Caenorhabditis elegans: one gene and its partners. The protein of the gene in region 4 interacts with the protein of the main gene of each other region in a pairwise test. Each region holds a gene or a part of one and is shown on either strand. Other genes may lie near its edges.

Region 1 (4,587 bases), on a different chromosome or scaffold from region 4:
AAAAAACCTCCGAAATTTCTCGAAAAACCACGTCAAACAACTAGTTTTCCCACCAACAAAAAAGAAAGTGAAAAGTGATAGTATTGGAACAACTGCTGATAATAAAAACATTTGTTTGCTATGGATAATCTAGTTCCATGCAATAAAAAATAGGGGTTTATGGGAAAAATTGGTTGAAAATTAAAAAAAATTTTTTTTTCCAGATTTAGGATTTTGAAATTAAAATATCAACTACAAACATAAAAAATAAAACAACATTTTTTACCACACTCGTGGGTCGAACCTCCGACCTATTTCTCCATAGTCGTCCGTGTTACCAGTTGAGCCAAAAGTGCAATTTTTCAAAAATTTGCGAAAAAAATAGCTTGCCAGACCTAACCAAAACAAAAATTTGCACAAAATTCCAAAAGAATACAATTTTAACACAATCCGAAAAAAAATCAATAATAGGCTCCACCCATATCTTCATTCAATTTTTGCTTTTGTAATATGCCAAGTTCAAACATTTTATGCTGAATATTTATTAGGTAAAAATATGAAAATCAGGCGGTCATCATTTCTTGAGAATCTCCACAACGCGGTTGACATTCTGTTCAACACCATTGAAATCATACTGAAAAATTTAAAAATTATAATCATAAAATTCGTTAAGCATTAAAAAATAACCTCGTAAACTTTCGAGTATGGAATGGTGTAGGGATCTGAGCCACAGCTGGTTTTTTGGAGGAGAAGCGGGACAATGGAGTCAATGTGGAAAAGGGCTACTCGCTTGTCTATGCTGAAACGTAGGTTGTGAAAATGTTTAACTTCAGAAAAAAAAATTAAATTTGGTCTAGGTAGTGTAAAAATACATTTTGAACAACAAAAAAACAGTATCTAAAGAATTTTCGAAAAAAAAAAATTTTAGGTAAAAATTCAAATTTTTTAATGCTGTTAAAAATATTTTTCAAGATAAATTTTATGAAACAAATTGGTAAGAATAATGAGGAATACGGAAATTTTTAAGAAATCGATAATCGGCGAGTTTTTTCAAAATTATTTAAATTCCAAATATTATTGATTTTTTCTTTAATTTTTAAAAGTATAGGAATCTAAAAAAAAAATCAAATAAGGGTGTTTTTTGGGGACATAAACTCACGCATTAATGTCTCTTATAAACTTGGATCCACAGTTGAGCCCGATGTCCATGTTTAGACATGTTGCACGTTTATCACCTGACGGGTCGCACAGAATACCTCCGTTTTGTCCAGAAAATATGAATTTTGAATTTGAATTTGAACTTGAATGATCTGGCAAAATGTTGTTGAAAACTTAAATTTTTCCACCAAGTTTTTGTTTAGAAAAAAAGAAAACACGTAAAAATTTTTTTGGAAAAAAAAAAAAACCTAAATTTTGCATTCGGAAGTTGGGAAATGTTCTTTGGAAAATAAAATTTAAAAAGTTAAAAAAAAATTAAGTTTTGACTATTCGCCAAATTTTTGGGAAAAATCAGTTTCAATTTTTATTTTACGATTATTTTTTCAGCTTTCAAAATCATATACCTCTAACAGAAACAAATGCTCTAACTGACGCCGTCAGTGGAACTCCCAGATCTTCATTAGTATCCACGCAGTTTCCTCCAATCACCGCTTTTCTTGCAATCGGGGATCCTGTTCCATATGCCACAATATTAACCCTATTATTCGTGAACTTTGAAACGGCGATAATAAGTTTTCTGATTTGTTTCACATATTCACACGTCATCTCAAGATTTGGTTCATAAGTGTGTGCTGGAATGCCCCACGACGTTGCGTAGACGGTTTCAGCACTATATCCTCTTTTTATGAATTCGTCTTTGTATTTTATATATTGCTGTGCACTGAGGCCTCCTCCGTGTACGATGATAAGAGGGACTCTTCTGAAAAATGTAAAAATTTTTATTTGGATTCTTTAAAAAATTCTTCTTCATTAAATTTTTAAAATAAATGGTTCTGGAAATATCTTTCATGTTTTTATTTTTGAAAAAAATTTCAGGACAATAATTTTTTCAAAGAACTATCTAGAGGGTTTGGGAAATTTTGAAAAATTCCAAAAATTTTTAAAACTTGGAAAATTAAAAAAAAATCAAAAATTTCTTTTAAAAATTTATGATGGATTTCTAAACGTTCGAAATAATTCTAAAAACAATTGAAGAAAATTCACAAATTTTCTAGTAAATTGGAGAATTGTCTAGAAAGTTCTGAAAAATTTTTGAAAAATCTTCTGGAAGGTTTACAAACTTTTTTAATGATTTAAGGAACTTCTAGTAAGTTTATAAAGTTCTGAAAATTTTAAAAAATTCCGTGAACTGATGGAAGACTTCAGAAATACTAGAAAATATCAGAAACTTTTGAAAATTGTCTAGGAAAATCGAAAAAAATTGAAAAATACTAGGAAGTTTGATAATCACTAGAAAGATTAGAAAATGTTGCGGAAAATTTTTGAGAAGCTGTTAGCAAATTTTGAAAAATCTGGTTGCCCCAGGAAAACCGAACTTACCTTGTTTGAGTACCTCCAACATGCCTTCCACCTCCAAAACTTCCAATAGCTCCAAAAAGGTCGTTTCTAGACAAAACTTTCAGCAATTCCGGTTGACCAGCAAAGTAGTTACGGAAACTGTCCGAAAACTCCGCTTGGACAATGGTGGCCAGGACCACGAGGGCAATTGAGTTGAAGAGAATTTTCATTCGGGATCTGGAAAAAAAAATTAAAATTAAAAAAAAAACTTAGGCGATGCATAAAATGTGGAATTTGGGTGAGAATTGGAAAACTCAAAAACTCACTGAAATTAAAATTTAGCCGGTCAGTTTTATACAACTTAAGCCACGTCTCAAAAATTCCAATCCCGCCCACTTCCGTTGCCATGTCTAGACACTCAGGTGCCTCATCTTATCAGTTGTGCTTTTCAGTTTATATCACGGTGGAATAACAAAAGCATTGCCAAACCCATTTTACTGATAACATTCATCAACTATGGAAGTACCAATCAATTTCTTAGCTCATTAGTCAGAAACAAGGGTGGCTGTTTTCCGATTATCCGATTTCCGGAACAACCAAAAATCTTTTACAAGCTTGAAAATTTTCGTATTAACTTTCAGTTAATTTTTCATTTTTCCACTATTTCAGAGGCCCGTAAATTTGCTCTCAATGGTAATATTTAAAATTTTTGAATGATTTTAGGGTATTTCGAGGTAGACAAGCTTTTTCCAAGAATTAAAAAAATATATATATATTTGAAAAATCCCCTAACAAGTTCTGTGATAAACGTTTCATATTTTGCTGTTTGCCGAGTTCGGCAAATTTCGGGATTTGCCGCGTACACCAAAAGTTGAACAGAAAAACAATTACTAAAACTCTTGATTCGGCTCCAAAAATCTAGTAAACTGGCATGAAATTGAACCACACGGACATTTCCAACCAAGCAAACGTGTTCTTAGTGTAACAGTAATTTTTGTGCTCCAAAAAATATCAAAATTCTTAGATTTTTCCGAGTTTGCGAAGCCAGGCAAATTTGCCGATTATGCCGAGTTTGCCGTGCTCGGCAATTATTGGAAACAGAAATTTGCCGAATTTGCCAAGCTCGGCAAATTTTGAGATGCCTATTTCAAAGGTCTTCTTTCAAATACAAATAGATCATTCTGGAACGCCAGGAAACTGCGCGGCAATTCAAATTATGATGCTAGTTTTTCACATTGTTAGCGGATTTTCCTCTTTTTTTTGGATATCAAATTGTTGAAAAACTCCCAATAGAGTTAGTGTGGAAAAAAAATCATCTGTCAACAATTTTTGCAAAATACAAGGATAATCAATAATAGGCTCCGCCCATTTCTTGGCTCTTTCAATTTTTGTTTTTGTATTATAATATGCCAAGTTCAAACATTTTATGCTTAATATTTATTAGGTCAAAATATGAAAATCAGGCGGTCATAATTTCTTGAGAATCTCCACAACGCGGTTGACATTCTGTTCAACACCATTGAAATCATACTGAAAAATTTAAAAATTATAATCATAAAATTCGTTAAGCATTAAAAAATAACCTCGTAAACTTTCGAGTATGGAATACCGCAGGAATCTGAGCCGCAGTTGGTTTTTTGGGGGAGAAGCGGGACAATGGAGTGAATGGAGTGAACAGCTTCTTTCCAATGCTTTCCAATGCTGAAAAGTTGGTGATCAAGTTTAAATTTTTTTTACTTTGGTAACAGGGCCTTTTAAGTATTTAGTATTTATTGACGAATAAGTTTTTTTGGCTAAAAAATTTTAACTTTATTCAAAAAAAATTTTACAAAAAAATGTTATGAACTAAACTAAATTAATTTTTTGCATGCTTTAAAAAAATCTATAAAAAGCTCCGCCCATTTATTATTTTTTTGTGCTTTTTGGAATATAAACCCACGCATTTATGTCTTTTATAAACTTGGATCCACAGTTGAGCCCGATGTCCATGTTTAGACATGTTGCACGTTTATCACCTGACGGGTCGCACAGAATACCTCCGTTTTGTCCTGAAAGTGAGAAATTTGAATTTGAATTTCCCGCCATTGTTTTTGTTAGAAATTTGAAAATGTG
Region 2 (5,646 bases), on a different chromosome or scaffold from region 4:
ACAAAGTCAGACAACGACGGATAAATACGGTAATTTTAGTTTAAATACACGATGTTGAGAATGAAATAAAAAGTGGTGTAAGGAAAATCAATAATAGGCTCCGCCTCCTTCTGGGCTATTTTCCAATGGAGTTTTTGTTGTTCTTTCCTCGTATGCTTTCACTAAAATTTAAGCCAGTTTGAAATCTTGTATAACAAGTTTTAGAAAATATGTGATATTTCAATTTAGAATTTTGCAAACTTGAAACATCAAGAAACTCTTTAAAAAACGTTTCTTCTCCTTTTTCGAAAAAACTGCAACGTGCTAGAATGCCTGGAATTCAAATGAGGTTCGTACCGACAACGGTGCTATCGTTGCCCTCACCCACCAAACACATGGGCAGTCTTGATATTTTGTTTCAAATGACAAAGTGCCCTCTGACAATTGAAATTCAAGACTTGTTTCAATTGCTTCCGTTTTTCTCTCTATTTTTCGTCATCCAAAACGTTACAACAAAAACACACATCATTATTGCAGAACGGTTCAAAACAAAAATTAATCAAAAGATCAAAAGATGCAAATTTTTATTTGATGAAAAAAATCTCGACTAGAAATAAGTTTCTTGAACTCTTGCATCTAATTACACATTCATTCCAAATATTTGAAAGTCAATGTTGGTTGTTATTCAATGGAACTGCGTTGAACATTGCGATTTCGTCGTCATCCGATGATGCAATCCTGAATGAAAAATGTTCAAAAGGGTATAAAAAATGCAAAATTGAAGAATGAAATTACTTTCTGGACGTGATTCGCTCCAGTATTTCTTCACATGTTGCATCATAATCTGGTGTTACTTCTTCTATAATTCTATGATACGTGCAGTCTGCAAACCGCCGTGGGTGGGTTTCAGAGTACACTGCGATTTTCTGAAAAAATACAGTGAAATAAAATGACAACCTGGAGTCCGAAATTGAATTCTTTTATTTCCAAAACATGATGACGTTTGAAGGATTTTTTCTAAACAAACTGGCATAAACTGTATTACCACTTATTTGAACAAAATAAACAATTGTCAAAAAAGGTTGGTAAAGTTTACTACGTTATTTGCTTATTTGGCACCAGTCACTACTTTAAATTTGATTCTTTCCGTGAATCTGTGTCCTTTTATTTTAATTTGAGAACATTTTGTTTAATTTGAGCTGCTCAGCGTTATATTTTTTAACAAATTCAAAACCAAACCGATGCTCGAATCAAATTCACAAACTTGGAATTTGTCACTGCCGGAACACCAACAAATACTTCATCAACAATCTGAAACAGTTATCTTAAAACGTTCACTATTTCAAAATTCGCTCCTTACTTTCAGTGATGATATGTTCAGTGTTCTTTCGAGAAGGTTCATAACCGGGAAAATTGTTCCTTTTTCTTCATTTACGTCCTGAAAATAAATTTTTATTTGCAACTTCAAAGATCATCTACAATCTTACATCATCTCCCACAATTCCAACAATCAGATAGTCTCCAAGATCTTTCGCTGCTTCCAAAAAAGACAGGTGCCCCGCATGAAATAAATCGAACGCTCCGCTAACATAAACAACCTGAAATTCTAATTGTATTTTGTGCGAAGACAATGTGTCGTTTTCCAGGAATGATTGTTCGAGGAATGATTGTTCGAAACACTAGTCATACGGTATTGATTTCAATTTTCACCTGTTCAATTTAAAAGAAAAAACGTGATTTCAGAAATGAGTAATGACATATCATGGAAAATACCACTTTGTCATATTTTCAGGAAAGCTCAAGTACTCTTGAGAATTACGAACAACTTGAAAGTAGTGCAAGTTATAAATTATGAGGATGCAAATAATAAATTAACTTTGAACGACTTGCGTCAGTAGCCTCTCATAGCTATGAATATTTTTAGATAACGTGAAGCTTGGGGAGTCAGCTTGAAACCGTGTATTAAAAAAATACTTTAATGTTCCGGAATTTATAAGGGATATTTTTTTGAAAACCAGATGCATGACGATAGTGATTCATGTGGATTTCACAGGCAATTTGAAAAATTTGTAAATGGAAGATTTCATGTTATGTTTAATCAATTTCATAAACATTTCATTTATTGTTTGAAAGTGGACATCATTTCCGGCAAGTTTGTTTTAAAATAAGTATAAAGAAATTGAAAAAGTATCAGACAATTTTTATAAAAGGAGCAATTTTTGCTGGACTAATTTTAATTTTTACGACATGGGTATTCACGTTTTGAGACAAATTCATTTTTCACATAATTGCATGTTTGGACCCGTATCTAGTTTTTTTTTTGATATGAAACCTATTTTTTTAATTCGAAATTTTTGACAACTATTCATAATTTTACGCGATTTTTTATTCTAAAAACCCTCCAGCTCACCTTGTCTGTTACTTTCGGTTTCCTTCCGATGACGACAGGTGCAAACGTATAGTTTTGTTTGAAAAGGGACACCGATATGACAGGCTCGTTGCTCAACGGATCCTGCAACATGTGTTTTGTCATAAGCAACTGAAGTATAACTTACCAGGGCAAACGGAAGAATAGCGCTTTTGAAATCCAAGATTGAATCGGTTTCCATGTGATGCTTTTTTGTGACAAGCATGAGACGACCAGCGATTTCCTTCATTATACAAATGATACAGATAAGGTTTTATTAAAATGAAAGGTTGAAATTACTTAGACGTAAGAACACTGTCAAGCAACTATTGAAAATTACTGTAGAAGATGTTTCAAACAATTTCTCAATAACTAAAATAATTTATAATCCTGTTAATAAAAACATATATGTTCGCAAGTACTGAAATCGTATATTGAAGGTGTAGTACACCTATTCATCCTAGAGACATCTACGAAAAATATAATATCTTGTTACATTTTTCCTTCCAGGAGAATTGCCAACATTTTAGACTACTCAATAAATTGCGTTTAATGTGCTTAACTTGTTTATCAAGCACGTACCTGGTCCGTTACATGCTCCGAAATTACATATTGTTTTGCCCGTTCGCTGCCCCGAATCTCCTCGTACCTTGCAGTTTCAACAGTTGTCAGGTGGCTAATATCTGGAAAAGTGGGTAGTTGACACCAGATGGCTCAACATCTGGGGTCTCTGAGTTTATGATCTAACCAACTTGCCTGGTATTGCAATAATATCACAATCTAGCTGGTTTAGCGTTGACATCTCGGGTTGAAATGGCGCGTCTTCAAATGCCTAAAGAATAATATGTAGAAAATTTGATTTTTAAATAAATAAATACTTCATCGACCCATCGAATTGCCGAAATAAGTCTGTATCTTTCCTCATCGGTGAAAATTGGTAAAATTCCATTATTGTCAAGCTAAAAAACAATATACATACACAAGTTTTGATATATTTGAAATGTAGAGAAATGAAATGATAATTGATTGTTATAACAAAAAACACATATACCTCGTCATCTGAATGAATACCAACAATCAGCTTTTTTCCGTATTGTTTTGCTGGCCATAATAATCTGGCATTTGCAAAATGTACAAAGTCAAAGCTGAAAGTTTTCAATTTTAACGCTTAACGCTTAAAAACAATATTGTGCTTTACCATCCATCTGTATACACTCGAGCTTTCTTTTTTTCTCCATCTGGAGTCAGTCCTTGTACAATAGCCTTGGGCATGGTCAACACGAATAATAGGTGAATAAACAAGAGAAAATAGGAAATCAGTTCGACTGATCGCGGCACCTTCTCACTGTTGATGGGATCTTTTTCTCTTTGCTTTCTCTCTGGGTGTAATGCGCTCTCGAGACAAAGAGCAGAATCTGCTCTCTCGTTTATTCGTTACACAAAGTAATTGCGGGTGTGTTATTCTGTCACAAAAAAACACTTGCTAATCAAAAGGGCACTCGCAACTTGAAATAAATATTTGAGTTTTATAGAAGTAACGTAGCGTTTGTCTCTGTGGGATTTTTTTTGTTCTAAATGACTGAAAACATTATCAAAGTGCCAAAAAATGACTGAAAACATTATTAAAGTGCCAAAAAATCACTGTAAACATTTAAATATTATCTAAATTTTTTTGATTTTCCAACTTTTTTTCAATTGCAAGCAAATTTGAAGGTCTGAATAATTTTTGAGTCCTTACGCAAACGAGTAACCTAGGTCCCACATGTTTGGGTTTTGGTAGTATTAATTGGTTTTATAATGGCATGTTACAAAAATCACTTCATAAATGATAAAGTGTATCACAACAATTGTTTTAAATATTGCTAATGAATTAGTCAATAAGCATGATATCTTTTCAGCGCAAAAAAACTAAGTGGAAAGTTTCAGTCGCATCCAGACTGACTGAACGTCAAATCTAATTTTGAGGTAATTTTTCGGTTGGCTTAAAATATATCTATTGACTTAACGCCTATTTCAAAATGTTACATTTTCAGAAACACACGCATATAGATCTCAATAATAAATATATAACAAATATTTTATCACAGTTTTAGGAAAACACGTTTGAAATTCATAGGCGTGTATTTTGAATGACTGAAAATGCGTAGCTTTTTTTAATATAAATCAGACAAACATTACAATTTTATGTTTACTTTCTTCCTTTGATAAATTTTGAAGAATGTCACAAGTCTACAAGCTGAAACCAATAAACTCAAACTATTGAAGCTAAGCATGTATCATACACCAGAAGTAATCAAAAATATTATCAAATTACGAAGTCTATGTGTTTTCATTATATTTTCTACTCGAAACTAACATCACAGTGGTAAGTTGAACCGTTCCCTGCGCATGTTTTTTGGGATCGTTCCAATTGGGTCCAATGATGAAGCTCTTTGAACTCTACACGCTCTTTGAACTCTACATCAACATTTTGCATAAAGAACAAATTGTGTATTATCAATCATCTTACCAAAGATCTGCTTTGAAATTAAGATCACAGATCTCGCGTTATCCAATAATCTTATGTTAATATCATGACAGAACATTCGCGACGGTTGCGCATACTATCCTGAGTGTACTGTTCCCTAATTTTGTAGACTTGCAACATAATAAACATTTTCATTATTCCGTATTCTGTATTTTTCTGCCTTTTCCTGCAAAACACAATTTTTTCTGCACGTAAACTGAAAAGAATGTTTCATGTTATTTTTCTCTTGCAATAAATTCTTAACAATTTATTTTCCAAAACACAATAAAAAATGAGATTCATCACCGATTGAACATCATTCAGGGCATTACAATTTTGTCTTTTTGTAAATACCCCAACTGATATTCGATCGGGAACTATCCCTTTACTTACTTTACTCACCATTAAAATAATTGTGAACTGTATTTCTAAGCGAAGATTTGGGGGCCAGTATGCTAGTACAATTCAAGCATTCTAGTCTCAAAATCCTCGATTTGAAAAAGTTTCTAACAACGAAATAGCAATAGACAGGAAAATGACAAGCCGCCGTGTGCAAATGAAACTGTAATATATGTAGGTGGTGGATAGAATAGTAAAGGCGGAGCTCATGACTCACGAAGGTCTGATGACGAGCCCAACGACCGCCTCTGTACATTTAAAACATACAGCGATGATTGATTGGCCCAGCATGTGATAAAAAATTGGATTGTCTAGATTTTACAATACTTCTGCATTGAATCAGCTTTAAACGCAA
Region 3 (4,708 bases), on a different chromosome or scaffold from region 4:
AAACAGCGTAGAGGTCACCTGAGGACCCCGGAAAGTGGGCGGAGCTACAATTCGACCGGTGATCAAAACCTGTTTTTAGAGAGAGCGCGCGCGCTCGCGACACTGTCCTTGTAGTCCAAACTTTTGGAAAAAAGGGTATTGGAATATTAGGTATACGCAGAAAATTTAGTAAATGATTTGAAAAACTCCAAGTCCTAACCTAAAATTGTTTTAATTCTAGTTAAAATTTTGTGTTTTTTTAGGTTGAGGCATTGATTTTCATTGTTTTTCATGTCGAAATTCGGATTCTGCGTGCAATTTCCGTTAATTTGACCCCCATAATGACCGGATTCTAATTATTTTAAAATTTTTGAAAATGGATCGAAGTGGCGCAACTGGGTAGAGGTTGGGCTGTAGCGCACAAGACCGGGGTTCGAGCCCAAGTAAGGGAAAATGTTTTTCTCAAGGTTTGTTTGGATAGTTAAAGTGTGTTAAAATAAAAAGGAATCCTAGAAAATCGGAAAAATTGGAAAATTTTTTTGAAAAAAAGTTCTTTGAGCAACATTTTTTTTACCTGAACATTTCGAAGGGCATTTAGCTGTTGAATGATATTTGGCATCATTGGTGGACCGACAACTGACGGGTGTCCTAACAATGGGTTTCTGGTAGCCTGGAAATTCAAAAATTTAAGGGAGAATTTAACAAAAAAAAAACAAATTTTGGGGCAAAAGTTAAAAAATATTTTTGAAAACGAGATCAAACCTTTCATGATATTTTTTTGAGGGAAAAAAAAGGTTATCGAATGACCTTCCACACACATAGACACATAGTAATTTTTCATTAGGGTCGAGAATTTGAGAGATATTTCGTTTTTTTTTCGAAAAAAATTGGACATTCTTTTTGCCCCCGCCATATAACTTTTTCCGCTACAGTCAGCAGGCCCCTCCCGCACACTCTTCTCTAGGCACTCGAGACCTCCTCGTTTCGTCCTCCCATGTGGTCTAGTGGTTAGGATTCGTGGTTTTCACCCACGCGGCCCGGGTTCGATTCCCGGCATGGGAAGTTTATTTTTTTATTTTTGCACTGCCAGTTTTGCCGAATTCTCATTTTTGCAGAAAATAGTTTACCTGCATCATTGCCATCAACTGTGGGTTGCTGAATACGTTTAGTTGAGCCGCCATTATTGCCGGATTGAACAAATTCGGCTGAATACCAGGGATTGGTGTGTTCGCATGCTGTGGGGGTTGGAAAGCTGTTGGGGTGCCTGAACATATTTATATTTATTTTTTATTCGAAAAAAATTAATTAGAATATTACCTGGCGTTGAGGGAATTAGGTGAGATTCTTGTTTGATAGCGGTCGGAGCAATTAGGCTCCGTGAGAAATCGATGGGTGGAGGTGGGGGTTGCTCGACGGAGCAAGGGTCACCCAGCGTCTGGAATAAGAAAATTATAATTTTTCATAAACTTTCCAGTTAATTAGCCTGTTTAAGACAATTTTTCCAAACTTTAAATTCAGAGAATTTTTTTAAAAGATATTCATTGTCAAATTCGAATTCTCCATGAAATTTCCGTTAAGTTGACACCCATATTGACCAATTTACAAAAATTTTGAAATTTTTAGAAAAGTCAAAAAATTGGGTCCCAGTGGCTCAGCTGGTCAGAGGTTAGGCTGAGTCAGAAGGTCGAGGGTTCGAGCCCAGTTGTGGTTTTTATTTTTTACTATAACTGTTTTGATGGTTGAAACAGTTTTAGAGTGACAGGAATTTCATTTTAGAATTTTTTTTTCGTAAATCTTTTTTTAACTCCCATAATTTAGACTTTTACATGTTATTTTGTACAAGAAATCAAAATAAAAAGAAAATCCCTCCTACCGGACTAGAACCCCGGTCTTCTGCGTCATAGTCTAGACCAACAGATACCCGACTGAGCCACCGAGACCAAATTTAACTTATCGGAAATAGGGCAATATGGGGGTAAATTAACGGATTTTAGAGATTTTAGACGGAAGATTCGAATGTTTTAATAAAATAATTGAAAAATTGAAAAATTAGCCTTTAAAAATTTTTTAAACAATTGTCCCGAAAAAAAGTTTTTTTCAGAAATTGTTTTGTATTGTGCGGTAAATTGGTGTAGAATTTAACGTTGAATACATTTTAATTGAAATATTGGTACTTGTGTATTACATGCCCTCATTTTTATAGTAATTTTTTAAGTTGTGCAAAATAAAAACGTGAACCACACTTTTGGATTTTTAGGCTTAGGAAATAAAATTTCCTAACTAGGGAACCGTCAGAAGGTGCCCATCGGACTTGCATATGAAACCTGTGCCATTCGATAGCTGCGAATCTCCAGAACCAAGCTCACGGCGAGCTCTCAAATATCCTAAAATAGCACTGTAACGAAGCACTTTACGATCAAAACAAGCAATTTTCCTTATTCACTTTGGTAGCTCATATCTCTGCGGATAAATTTTTCAAAGAAAAGTCATCAACTGATAAATTGTTGAACTTTTTGTAAAGAACAAGTTTGTAGTTAAAAGTTTTTACCAAAAGTTTTTTGTTTTAGATAAAAGCATTAAAATCGCAATAGCAGCAGTTGCCGCACTTCATGCGCTTCTATCTGAAACAACAATTTTTTTGACAAAAACTTTCAACTACAAACTTGTTCTTTACAAAAATATCAACAACATATTAGTTGATGACTTTTCGGTAAAAAATTTATCCGCTGAGATATGAGCTACCAAAGTAAATTTGGAAAATTGGCCCTTCACTACTTCGTTAAAGTGCTATTTTCAGGATCTTTGAGAGCTCGCCGTGAGCTTGGTTTTGGAGATTCGCAGCTAAAAATTCACGAGTAACCGTTTAATTTAATTTAAAAATGAGGACATGTAATACACAAGTACCGAAATATTTTCGATTTGAGTGCTAGTTCTTCAGTAAAACCTAAAAAATGTACAAAAATGAACGTTTCCTCAGAAAACTCACCATATTAATCCAAGTTTGATGGGATGCTGAAGCTTGACTCTCAGCAAATATTAGCCCAGTTGATGACGTGGAATTTTCTAGAATAAGGGGACGATGTGGGTGATCAGAGCACTTTGGCAAAGTGTACATGAGTATACAGAAACAAGAGAGAATAATATAGTAGTACAGTGAGAGGTGTTTCAGACCGTTATTCCTGGAGACTCTCCCCCTTATCACCGCGCCGCCGGTCAGTCAGCCGCTGCTGACCAACTGGAAATATGTTTCAAGCGGTGTGGCGCGCGGCGTGGGAAATAGTGCGCGAAACCGGGAGAGTGCACACAGAGGTGAGTGACCGTGGGGGGCATTGTATGCTAATAGCAACGCGGAACGAATTTTGGGGGCGGGGGGAACTGTACTATGTGTTGCGGTTTTGGTATAACAAAGTTGCAAAAAAAAAGGTCACAACTTTTGAGGAAAACGAACATTTAAGTCTTTAGCATTTGGGTTTAAACGTTTTAAACCTAAAAATTCGAATTTTACAAAAAATTTCCGTCAATATGACCCCCATATTGACCTATTTCGGTAGTTTTTAAATTGTCAAAAATTTCGGAAAATGGGGCGAAGTGGCTCAATCGGGTAGAGGCTGGGTTATGGTGCAGAAGGTCAGGGGTTCGAGTCCCAGCTTGGTCATAAGTTTTTGTTGCAATTTTTTGAGTGACAAAAATACAAAATTTCGAGCTAGAAACTAGTTTTCAACACTTTCCATGTGTCGAGTAATTTTCGTTGAAAAAATTAAATTTTAGTAAATTAAACGTCAAATTCGAATTCTCCATTAAATTTCAACGTGACTCCCATATTGGCCTAATTAAGATAATTTTGAAATTTTTTAGAAATTTCGTGAAAATGTGTGCTGAACTGGGTACATGTTAGGCTATGGCGCAGAAGGTCAAGGGCTCGACCCCAACGTGCACCAGAACATTTTTGCACAGCTTAATTTAACATAGTTTCCCCTGTTTTAAAGTAATTTTGACATTACACACATTTTTTTCATTATTTTGGAAAAAATTTACAAAAATGTAACTCTCACAAATTTTGTCAAAAAAGTTACACTGATGGAGTAAAATTTTTTTCATCAAAATATGGAAAGTATAGAAAATCCTTGAAAAATCCCCAAAAATCATATCCCCCGCTACCGGGGGATAATCGGTGTTTAGCGGAGCCGTGAACTCAATCTGTTAAATAATTTTTTTCTTCTGTGCCGGCCGGGGCGGATTTTCTTTTTTCATTTTCATTAAGATAATTTATAGGTGAGCGGCTTTGTTGCTTAAGTATTAGCTGTGAGGATTTGTTGTTAATTTTTTTTTGGAAATTTTTTTCGACAATATTTACCCATTTCATATGATCAAAAATGTACCGGAAAAAAAATTTGGGACCGGCTGGGGTCGAACCCTGGTGTCGAGATTCACAGCCAAACCTGTTAGCCACTGAGCCATCGCGGCGAAAATTGAAAATTTCCGGTTTTTTGGGCCAAAAATTTCACATACAGGGTTCAACCTAGTTTCCAACTCGAGATTCTTTTCTTGTTAGATGGAAAAAGTCTCACAAAAATATTCACCTACAGCGGGGATTGAACCCCTGTCTTCCGCGCGTCAGCCCAACCTCTACCCAGCGAAGCCACCGCGACCTATTTTTCAAACTTATAGGAAATGGCTCAATATGGGGGCCAATTTGACTAGAATTTTGATGAAGAATTCGAGTTTTTAT
Region 4 (3,432 bases):
AAGAAAAATCATCCATGTCGCAGGATTTTGATGACTACTTGAATAATTTGGGAGAGAATAAAAATTAGATTTCTCAAAAATAAATTGTTTTCTTTCATTGATTCAATGTTGAATTCATTTTACCGTCATATTTAAACTTCCAATTACATATCATCGTTTTCTTAGTCACTGTTATATCCGTGTTTTGCAGGTTCTTCCATCTTCAGAAATTTATAAATTACCTCCATCCCCGAGGCCCGGGCCCTCTATTTTTTTTAGATAAAGTTTAAAAGTTTTAGTTGTTAGAACACAATTGGTAGATTTTTTGAAATCTGAAAGAACTCAAAATTTGCAACAAAACGGCTACCGTGATTTTTGAAAAAGTAAAAAAAAGTATCTCTCCTTAGAACATACACCAAATATGTTCTACAAAGGAGCAATACCCCTATCATTGCCTTCGTTTCGAAAATCAATTCTAAATTGTAACAATTCTAAAATTGTGGTAGCTGGTAAATTTACCCAGTTTCAATTAAAAGGAAGCCAGTAATAGTCCAAGGAAACAACATACAAAGTATAAAAAGTTTATAAGAAGTTTTGTCTCTAAAAAGTTAAGATGACTCCAATGGGCACATAACACTTCAGGAGAACTTTGATTCATAAACCTTACAAAACAAATATCAAAACATTTTTATTCAATCTAGACAGTGCTATTCATGACATCTTGCTGAATTCTTATCATCACTTGACCTTGCGAAGAGCTTTTCCTTCATGATCATGTCCGATCTCGTGAGTTTGAGTTTGCTCGATGATAGAAACACGGCGAGCATTTGGACCGGTAGACATTGCACTCTTCGCTGGAGGCTTCAGTCCTGGAAGAGCTTGACGATATTGCGAAGCAATGCCTTTCACATCTTCGTTCATTTGGACTGATGGTGGTTGCATGAGATTGGTAGCCAACGCCTGTTTCGCCCATTGCTTGGCATCGATCGAATCAGGGCGCTCGACGACAAAAGTGACTTTTCCTTTCTCTTGGATATTCTTGACGAGAAGATCTCTGGCAACATCCTTGTCACTGACTGGAATTCCATCAACATCACACAAATGATCTCCAAGAACAAGACACTTCTCGGCTAGTGATCCAGGATCAACACGTGAAACAAGCACACGGTTCTAAAATAGACATATGAACTTCCTCCAATCTTTTAATTTCTTACCTGGAAATGCTTGATTCCCAAACCAAGTTTTGGTCCATTTTGAACCCAGACAAGGGTTGCCAACTCATAAACGTATCCCTCACGGCGTTGAATGATCTTTGCACGATCCTCAGGAATATGAACACGAGCTTCTAACTCTTCAGCCTTTTTTTCGTCACGGTTCACCGTGATTTTTGCACATGGAGCAGCAAAGCGAAGCGCACGGAAAAAGTCGTTACAATCCTTGCAATTTTGTCCGTTCACTTTTTTAACTTGGTCACCAATCTGTAAATCATTCTGTATAAAAAAGATTTGAACATTTCAAAAACTCACTCTCAATTTTCCTTCAGAAATGGTTCCAGCCTGAATCTTAGTGATAACGAGCTTGTCATTTGGAGTTGCACCAAGTGGTTCTCCTTCCTCCATGTCGATACAAATCTCGATCATCTTCTCGGAACCCATTCTTCTGTTCCTTTTCTTCTTTGCTGCTTTGCCGATTCAAAAGGCGATTGATTCGATTTCTTGCGAAATTTGATTGAGAGTGGCGAGAATTGGACGTTTTATACTGAAATACTTGGACATAAAAAATAAGGTCTTGGGGACATGTTACGTATAAATATAGAGTTTAAGTTCGAGAAAATATTTTAAATTGGAAAATTTTTACGAGTTTATTTGCGAAACTTGTCAAACAAAATTTGACCTTCCAAAAAGCGAAATTGGATTGCGTCTTTTGCTTAAAATTTCAGTTACCTAACTTATAAACATGGCCTAATAGAGTAAATACTCAAAATCTCTTTAGATTTTTGAAATTTTTCAGTCTTGGTATATTGATTGTTTTTGGGGAATAAAATATTTAAATAAAATAACTAAATCATAACAAAGATATAAAACTTGTAGGAAACAGCATTTTGGTTTGAAATTGTAATTATGATAGGTTTTCCATTTATTAAACTTAAAATAAACGTTTTACTCGGAAATAGAAAAGAAACAAATTTAAATATTAACGTAACCCCAATTTAAAAGAAAAGAAACAAATAAATTTGTTCAAAAATACCTGATAATTGAGTCAAAAATCAATTTATTTTCAACTTTTCAAAAGGTTTACAATATTGATTCAACTGCCAAACAAAAGAAAACAGAATCAAAAATCGAAAAATGGAGATGTCAACGAAGGCAATTTCAATGAAAGCACCAAACACAGAACAATCAAAAGATGTTGTTGTAAGAGAAGTATTACCTGGAAATGGAATAACAACTGGAGGATCAAGAGAAGGATCAAAAGAATCTGCAAATCCACCTGGAACACCTCCACCGCCAGAAGAGAAGCCGAAAGAGCCTATGGTTGATGTTCCAGTCGTTCAAATTACTCCAGAGGTTTTTTTGGATTTTTTTTCTAGACATCAACATTTATTTCTTGTTTAGATTAAAGGCTGTCAATTCTACCATGGAATAATTCCACGTGTCGATGCTGAGTTGTCACTTCGTTACGTAGGTGATTATCTCCTGAGAAGAGCGGAACCACGTGAAAATGCGGGTGGACAATTTCTGATAATTTCTGTAAAAAGAGAAGCTGGATTTGTTCATGTTCCAATAAGTCAAGACAAAGAAGGTGCAAAACAGTTTTATTTTATGCCAACACTCAAGGAAAACACTGTTTTAGATTTGATTGATGTCCATCTGTACGTTTATTCTTTTTTTTTTTAATTTAATGATTAATTAAATTATGTAAGATATTTCAGTGCTCGTGCGCAACCAGTATGCGTTCAGTGGAATGTGTATCTTCGTAAACCAGTCCTCCGAGCAACATGGATTATTCCACACGAGGACGTGATCTTGTATCGAAAAATCGGATCTGGAGCCTTCGGAGAGGTTTTTCTTGCAAGAATGGTTGATCCAACAAGTGAATATGTGCTGGATTGTGCTGTCAAGAAATTGAAACAGGTTTAGTCTAGAGTGATACTCTAAAAAATAATGTTTCAACAATTGTTTGCTTCTTTTGATATATCATTTTACAATATTATACAGATGTGAAATTTCAAGAGTACTGCAAATTCAAACTCTCATTGCTGCGATATTTTCAATGATTTTTTAAATAGTTTTTATCATTATTTGCAACTATGAAAACTCCGCAGCTACGAGAAGTTGGAAGTTCAAATATTTTTTAAACACTGTCGTGTCGAGACCGGGAACTGTAGTTCTACCCTCAAAGTACCCAAAAACCTCAAAGTTTCGCGTCTGGGTAATGATCCACATAAATTGT

The links.
Region 1: the proteins of smz-2 (region 4) and lips-11 interact in a two-hybrid assay, tested with the Caenorhabditis elegans proteins (one large-scale study listed by BioGRID).
Region 2: the proteins of smz-2 (region 4) and pcyt-2.2 interact in a two-hybrid assay, tested with the Caenorhabditis elegans proteins (one large-scale study listed by BioGRID).
Region 3: the proteins of smz-2 (region 4) and nhr-41 interact in a two-hybrid assay, tested with the Caenorhabditis elegans proteins (one large-scale study listed by BioGRID).

What each region holds. Positions count from the first base shown.
Region 1 is NC_003280.10:1,108,288-1,112,874, forward strand, and holds lips-11 (LIPaSe related), read right to left. Parts: upstream 2,715-4,587; 5' UTR 2,706-2,714; coding exon 2,518-2,705; intron 1,898-2,517; coding exon 1,542-1,897; intron 1,290-1,541; coding exon 1,139-1,289; intron 779-1,138; coding exon 667-778; intron 614-666; coding exon 554-613; downstream 1-553. Other genes in the region: lips-12 (LIPaSe related), read right to left, coding at 3,943-4,005, 4,059-4,176, 4,415-4,523.
Region 2 is NC_003284.9:7,882,381-7,888,026, reverse strand, and holds pcyt-2.2 (ethanolamine-phosphate cytidylyltransferase), read right to left. Parts: upstream 3,703-5,646; 5' UTR 3,659-3,702; coding exon 3,585-3,658; intron 3,532-3,584; coding exon 3,438-3,531; intron 3,346-3,437; coding exon 3,265-3,345; intron 3,219-3,264; coding exon 3,143-3,218; intron 3,070-3,142; coding exon 2,969-3,069; intron 2,631-2,968; coding exon 2,535-2,630; intron 2,492-2,534; coding exon 2,390-2,491; intron 1,578-2,389; coding exon 1,467-1,577; intron 1,418-1,466; coding exon 1,340-1,417; intron 1,291-1,339; coding exon 1,219-1,290; intron 906-1,218; coding exon 775-905; intron 718-774; coding exon 648-717; 3' UTR 548-647; downstream 1-547.
Region 3 is NC_003282.8:1,384,549-1,389,256, reverse strand, and holds the start of nhr-41 (Nuclear Hormone Receptor family), read right to left. Parts: upstream 3,043-4,708; 5' UTR 2,969-3,042; coding exon 2,966-2,968; intron 1,415-2,965; coding exon 1,297-1,414; intron 1,244-1,296; coding exon 1,107-1,243; intron 1,042-1,106; exon of another isoform or gene 970-1,041; intron 650-969; coding exon 554-649; intron 1-553.
Region 4 is NC_003279.8:6,872,051-6,875,482, forward strand, and holds smz-2 (PDZ domain-containing protein), read right to left. Parts: upstream 1,708-3,432; 5' UTR 1,635-1,707; coding exon 1,506-1,634; intron 1,458-1,505; coding exon 1,194-1,457; intron 1,150-1,193; coding exon 718-1,149; 3' UTR 557-717; downstream 1-556. Other genes in the region: T21G5.12 (Lipoprotein), read left to right, coding at 1-68; T21G5.1 (Tyrosine-protein kinase), read left to right, coding at 2,328-2,546, 2,595-2,851, 2,912-3,113.